Mytilus edulis: one gene and its partner. The protein of the gene in region 1 interacts with the protein of each later gene in a pairwise test. Links are inferred from orthologs where the notes say so. Each region holds a gene or a part of one and is shown on either strand. Other genes may lie near its edges.

What was found.
Region 2: the proteins of MYCBP-associated protein-like (region 1) and c-Myc-binding protein-like interact in binary tests that used the Homo sapiens proteins (3 or more experiments, as listed by UniProt). The link is inferred for Mytilus edulis from reciprocal best matches to the Homo sapiens genes MYCBPAP and MYCBP.

What each region holds. Positions count from the first base shown.
Region 1 is NC_092344.1:110,248,376-110,252,310, forward strand, and holds the start of MYCBP-associated protein-like, read right to left. Parts: upstream 2,365-3,935; 5' UTR 2,241-2,364; intron 1,837-2,240; 5' UTR 1,824-1,836; coding exon 1,661-1,823; intron 1-1,660. UniProt on the Homo sapiens protein: May play a role in spermatogenesis. May be involved in synaptic processes.
Region 2 is NC_092353.1:10,607,480-10,611,414, reverse strand, and holds the start of c-Myc-binding protein-like, read right to left. Parts: upstream 2,471-3,935; 5' UTR 2,354-2,470; coding exon 2,339-2,353; intron 1-2,338. UniProt on the Homo sapiens protein: May control the transcriptional activity of MYC. Stimulates the activation of E box-dependent transcription by MYC.

The DNA of each region.
Region 1 (3,935 bases):
AATGTGGAGGTCTTGAAAAACCATCATATGTTAACGTAAAAATAAGAAAATGTGGTATAATTGACAATGAGACAGCTCTCCAAAATTCCTTGCAAACTATGAGCTAATCTAAAGTTAGATGACCTTGATGTTTAACAATGAACATTTAGATGTGAACATTAGACCAGGGATCTATGTTCTAGAGTTGGACATCTAAAAGGTATTTTGCTTAGATTATATACACCACTTTCCCATTTATTCATGTTTTGTAATACTGGTTATCTGTTTTGCAATATTTGGCAAGAACATATAAAAGTTGTTAAAACATGAAATGCTATTGTGGAAGGGCTACTTTCAATATCCACCATATGACTTTGTCAAAAGTTTTTTTTTTACTTAAAAAATCTATGTATTTTACAAATTGACATTAAAACATCCTCTAACCATATGTCATAAGGGAGATAATCCTATTTCAACTCATCAAATCAAAACATCCTCTGACCATATGGTATAAGGGAGACAATCATGTTCTAACTTTTATATTAAGGTAACTTTTGGTTGCAGTCTTGAAACTGACTGCTCCATAGGCTTACCAGTACATGCAAAACAGCTGATCTTTGAATTTTTTTAAATGAAATGCTACATAGATTTTTTTTTCATGTTCATATCATGTATGTAGTAATGTCAAATTGTGTTTTAATCTAGAAAGAAAAAGTAGGTCATGCCACCAAGAATAAAAAGTTATTTAATCTTGAAGTCAAAATTATTTTTTTCTACTTTCTGTTTGCTGTTTTTACTAGGCCTAACCACTTGCAGTAACATAATATCCTTCCACTTTCCTAGCTTGATATCCCCAAAGAGATGCAAGATTTTCTAAAAATCTAAATGTTACATATGTTTCAATTCAGCATTTATAAAACTTATAATCAAACAGAAAAAATTGAGTCCCAGAAAAAATGGACCATTTCATTTCACTCTATGTTTAGTCATGCTGCGTAAACTAGAAACTAGTTATACAAGACTGGTAACTTTTATTCTGTCTTATCAATAAAACATCCTCTGATCATATGATATAAGGGAGACAATCAAGTTTTATTTCTTGTCATAGTAACTTTTATTCTATCTAATCAAAATTAAGTCTCTGCGCTGACACAGTGTGGAGTATAGAGATTAAATCTGAAATTTTAACCATTACACTCTAGATTTATTCATGATTATTTTTTCATCTTATCTAAGTATTAAAATATGGAGATGTGGCATGATTGCCAATCAGACAACTATTATCCTTTAATGGTGGAATGAAGTTAATGCTAGAAATTTAAGCCAACTGTACAGCCATCAAAAATGAGAAAATATACCATAGTGGGCAAACTAATCCCCAGATCACTTTAAAATCAATTGGTTATAAAAGGTGATTTGCAAAAAACAAGGAATACAATGTCCTGGGAGATTTAAAGAAACTGGAGGAGCTGATTACACGACTGGCATCTTCCACAGAGGATGCTGCTAAAAAAAGACCAATCTTTATCATCAGGAAAAACTACTTTAATTCCCAAAAGTTAAATTGATAAAGCAAAGGGCCATCTTCAATGTATATGCAAGTTGGAAGAAAGTATAATGTATAAATATGTGTTGTTCAAACTTGTCCTTAATAAAAAAAAATGTATCACTAGTTCCTTACCAACCAACGCAGAAACTGCTAATTTTTTGTTTGTATCGCCCCATTTGGATTTTTTCCCACTATCATCTGAACTTCCATTATTCCTTTTTGATGACTCTCCCCCTCCTGAGTTAGTTACAAATGCCTTTTTAAGTAAAGAAGTAGCTCTTCCAATCCCAGCCATCTCTGATCATCAGCTGTGGAATATTTCCTTATTAAAATGTTTCTATCATCTTTATTACCATTTATCATCACATAAATTACTTTTAAAATCCTGTTTATTAAACTGATATCAATATTTAAAACTTTACAGATCTATAAAATCTTTGATAAATAACATACTTTATATGATCTAAGTTCTAACTACAATATTATAAAAAAAATTTTTACTTTAATATAAAATAGAATTATTTTTACTACTAAAGCCTTTTTCTCTGTTAAAGTCTTTTAAAAATCAGGTTTTATTTTCTCAAAATTAATTTAAAAATATTTAATGAAGATTGTGTCATGTTTAATTTCTATACGTTTTTTAATGTTATTTTAAAATATTATCATCATACATGAATTGCATCCTACATCAGACTATAATTTCAAAACCTACCTTATGTAAGAAAACAATAGAATATCCGATAGCCAAACTTAACATGTAAACAAACTGCAGGAAATCCTTACAGAATTTTGGCCAGAAAAAACTAAAAACTAAATAGTGGTTTCTATTTGGTGTATAAACAATATTTCCTTCAAAGAACTTCAAAGGTTTAAGTGACAACCATGCAAAACAATACACCATTCAGTTCATATACATGAGTAAACACAATATTGTATTGAATTAAAATACTATAACTAATGAAGGTTCTGTCCAAATATTGGTTTTTTTCTGACCAAATAAAATTCTAATTCTTGTTACATACAATCAGAAATTTGATATGGCTATTTCTAACCCTTTAGATTTGCCTATAATGACTCCTATTATAAGTGAAATTTTGTGAATTGAATTATTTAAAGGAATAAACAATGTTCCATTAGATTTCAGAAAGTTTACACTAGTTAATTGTGCTACCTTTTATTGGTTTCTTTGTTAATGTCCATTTACACAAACCTTGATGGGTACTCAATGACAAAACTTTATCTTTTAAACAAATATTGTTTCGAAAAAGAACCAAAAAGATCAAATGTTCACGGTACAAAACATACTTCTAAGGGATAAGTTTACTGTTAATTATTGTTTTACAAAAATTCCATAAAATGAACAATTCATATGTGTTAATTTTTAGCATGGAATTTGATCAGAAATCCAAAATTTCTATATCTAATAGTTAATGAACCTTTCTGATACCCCTAAATAAAGTGGTGAAAAGCAATTAAATATGTCAATATTTGTCTGCTATATTACAAGCCTTTCATGGACACAACTCTGGTTTTAATGAGAAATTTTATTTTTCAGATGGCAAAGGGTAACACAGATGTGACTGGAAGTAAAGGTAATAAATAAAAAAATATAATATCTTTCCTCATTTTTGAAAAAAAAATAAAAGAAAAACACTAATTGAAAATTATAAATACAAATTTACGATATATATATTCAAAAATTTTGTATTTTAAACATTGTAAATGATAGGATATGACTATTGCTTTTATCTATTTCTAAATTACATTCAATATACAGCACTTCCAACCTTCTATTAAAAAATGTGATGGTCTCCTAATTTTAATTCATTTATATTTTTAAAAACACAACATTCAATTCTTTTATTTTATATTGCCAAATTATTTTTTAATGTTTTATTGGTGTAGTACAGCTATTATTGTAACCTTTCATTTTATTGTAGCACAACTACTATGATTACTATATTAACTGTTGTACAGCTACTATAATTACTATTTCAAATGCTTTACAACTACTATAATTACTATTCTAACTGTAGTACAGTTTTTATGATTACTTTTTTAAGTGGGGTTCAGTTACTATAATTACTATTTTAACCGTAGTACAGCTATTATGATTACTATTTTAACTGTAGCACAGCTACTATAATTACTATTTTAACTGTAGAACAGCTACTAAGATTACTATTCTAACTGTACTACAGGTATTAAGATTACTATTTTAACTGTAGCACAGCTACTAAGATTACAATTTTAACTGTAGCACAGCTACTACGATTACTATTTTAACTGTAGCACAGCTACTATAATTACTATTTTAACTGTAGTTCATCTACCAATATTACTATTTTAACTGTAGCACAGCTACTAAGATTACTTTTTTAATTGTAGCACAGCTTAACTGTAATAC
Region 2 (3,935 bases), on another chromosome or scaffold:
AAATCTGGAGGCGTATAGAAAAAAGTTGTAAACCCTTAATTTTAGAAAAAATTAGCGGAGTGGAACAAAACTTAAACTTGATCTGTAACTCATCATTGTTAGCCACATACCAAAAATCAGCCCAATATCTGAAAGCGTTTAGAAAAAAAGTCTGTATAACAGCGATTTTCAAAATTTTATTAAAGTCCAAAGCCAAAAATTACAGCAAAAATTAGCAGAGCAGCGAAACTTAAACTTGATCTGTAACTTATGAATAACTCACAAACCAAAAAATCATCCCAATATCTGAAAGTGTTTAGAAAAAAAGTCTGTATAACTGTGATTTTCAACAATTTATCAAAGTCCAAAGCCCATAATTTTGTCAAAAATTAGCGAAGCAGAACAAAACTTAAACTTGATCTGTAACTCATCATGGAGAACTTATATTCCAAAGATCAGCCCAATATCTGAAGCGGTTTTCAAAAAAAACTCTGTATAATGGTTTGTTGTGGAATGACGGAATTTTGGAATTTCAGACAGGGGTAAAACTATATGTCCCGACCACTTAGTGGCGGGGCCATAAAAACTAAACTTAAATTCATTAAGTTTGTATTTTTTTTTTAACATTATTTGTTTGAATAAGACTATAAAATTGTGTGATGCTAGATTTGACTTCTAGTTGCTAAACTTGTCTTCTTGTCGCTGCTGTGTCAGAATCTAATGGAGTAATTCTTTCTGTCGAATTATACTTTCAAAATCTAACAGTACACTCAATTGCTATAATTTGTTCAAAACATCCTAAACAATGACTGTCTATACCGTTCGCCACTGATCCAATGTCCCAGACTAGAACAATTCTATTTGGACTAGCAAGTATTTGCAAAACATTGTTCAGACACATAATGAAAAATGGCAAAATATTGGTCTTTTCCGTTAAGTCTTTGGATTAGAAGAAGTAAATGTAGTAGAAGTTGGTAAAGTTTTGGTGCAGACTGATTGACTTGAACATCTTTTCAATTTTGTTGTACTCACAATAAAATTACACATAAAATTGAGAAAGGAAATGGGGAATGATTTAAAAGACAACAACCCAACCATAGAGCAGATAACAGCCAAAGGCCACCAATGAATCTTCAATGTAGCGAGAAACTCCCGCACACGGAGGCGTCCTTCAGCTGGCCCCTTAAAAAATATGTATACTAGTACAGTGAGAATGGACCTCATACTAAACTCTGAATAATACGTAAGAAACTAAAATTAAAAATCATACAGGACTAACAAAGGCCAGAGGCTCCTGACTTGGGACAGGCCCAAAATAGCGGCAGGGTTAAACAGGTCTATGAGATCGTAACCCTTCCCCTATACCTCTATAGTCTTTTACTTTGATTCTGAAAAATTGGAGACCACAACTGACTTTACACTAACAGTGGAGTCCCCACAGCCTGTGATATCGCACATTAGCTGATTTCATCATATCAACACATTAATATAAATAAAATCATTCTTGTTATTGTTTAAGCCTTCTGAAGGGAAAAAAAAAGAATAAAATTGATAAGTTCAAGAGTTCATTAATAACTGCAATTCCTTGATTTACCATATTTGGTCAATTTCCATTAAAAAAATACATCATCAGATAAAATTTGTTTTACCTAAGTCAAATTTAATTATGATATGAAATAATTTTTTGCTCTGCATCCATTGGCATCTTTGGCAGTGTGTTTCACTGTTTGGTTCAAATTCAGCTACATTTAGTAGTATAAAATCTTTCTTTTATTCAAAATAACCTATTTTTGTAAGGCATGCGAGAAATCACCAGACATTGGAGGAACTCTCAGAAAAGGGGATTCCCTAATTTTGGACACACATTACTAAAAATTCTGAGGATGAAACCATACAAACAGAAGATTTTATAAAATAAAAGTATGTTATGAAGTGTTCACACAATTTTATCCAATTTTTGGTTTTATTTGTTGAATGAAGTGAAGTCAAAAGTCTTAGGTGTGCAGATACACCGGACTGCACCGCAACATTAATTTAAGCTGGGATATAACTTCCTTGAATTTGTAAGACATTCCTTTTTTCATAACAAACTTATCCCATTATCTTTTTCTTCTAATTACCAAAACACATCTTTTATACTTTATTCCAATATTTTAACAAGAATAGAATAACAGTCAAACTAATTTGCAATATATGACTTTAAACAGAATTATTCAGAAAAGATTGAAAAATCTGTCCTGGGTCACCTTTAGTTTTTAATTAGTTTTACTGTATTTGATTCAAGTTCGTCCATTGAAACTATACGGTTATTTAAACAGAGAAGAAGACTATTTTACGCCAATTTTGAAATAAAGTATACCCTGTAAGTTGTCATGATGTCTGATGTTGTTCTTCAATCTCGTTTCAAACAGGTCCAGTTAGGAATGGTTGCTATCAAGGTTTCGGTAACATGCGCAGTGACCGGTGAAGAACCTAGATGATAACAGGTCTCAAATAAAACTTTACAATTGTGATAAACGATCAAGTCAAATTTAAAAGTTCAATGAAGATTGGTTTGATGTAAAACTGCGGAAGAAAATAATATGTTTTCTTGTTATAATGTAAAATGCCAAAGTAGTTATCATTTAGTTTGTACGGTCAAACTTAACTTCCGTTTTTCGGAATTTGTAGCTTTATCCATTTGTTTGATGAAAAGACCCGAAAAATGTAGGAAAAAAAATCGTCTGTTTTTGAGTTTTGGAGGCATTTTCAAAATGATTGGTGTTTCTCTAATTATTCAACGGTATTTTAAAAATGAATTACTAAATACTTTAGGTTGCTTTATGACACTGTTAAGATTATTTTCCCCTTTCCTGACATGTATGAAAAAGCAAGAAGAAGAAGGGTCTTTCGGTTTTAAGTCTTTTAAAGAGACAGGCCAGCACTGCCTCAGTCACTGAGTCAGTGCCCTCAATCATTCCTTGACTTATTTTCATTTTTTATTTTTTCTGTTGTCACAGAGTTACAGAGACAATCTCACCCTTCATAAATCAAGTGCAAACTGCTGAATAGATTACACAGGAACAAATTATACTATTACTATTTTGACGGGATACACCTTATCGTTATTTGTCCGCCATTACTGGATATCACACTGGTTCCCGTAAAATTTTGACGTCATAAAATAAAATATCTGAAGCCACAATGGAAAAGTGATTGTTGTATGCGTCAAAAGTTCAAGCGGCTGGTTCAGCCGGCCGATAAGGCTAATAGAGATAAGGTGTATTGCTTCCTTTAGAAAATGTGGTATAGATACTTAGTCAGCCATAAGTGGTTGAGCTAAGGAAGTACTTCTTTAGCCCAGTCGGTTAACACACTGCATTGTAACACAGAGGTCTCGGGGTTCGATTCCAGGTGGAGACAAGCAATTTTGTAATGAAATTCATGCACTCCGGACGCCACGATATAGCCTTTTTGTGCTAATGCGGCGTAAAGCAACCAACAATCAATCATGCTCTCCGGTTACATTGGCGCCCAGCTAAAAAACCCACATAAGTTAGAGAGGAATTCTAGCTAGGGTAATGTGTGTGAGAGTCATAATGGTATGATGACTCGTGAGGTTGGGGAAGTGTGACAGGATTGCTTCCCTTAGAAAATGCGGTAGATATTCTATAAGCGGTTGAGCTAAGGAAGTACTTCTTTAGCTCAATCGGTTAGCACATTGTCTTGTAAGGCAGAGGTCATCGGTTCGAGTCACGGTGGAGACAAGCAATTTTGTAATGAAACTTATGCTCTCCGGTTACAATGTCAATAGGGACAAAATTGGAGTGTTTAATTATGAAAAATGTATTACAAATGGTAAAATGTATCCTCATCTCATGGGTTTTCGTGGTATTAAAAATGCATTGTGACGTCACAATTTCTATTGAAAAAGCATTCATAGTACAAATTCATATTATGTATGAAAACAAATGATC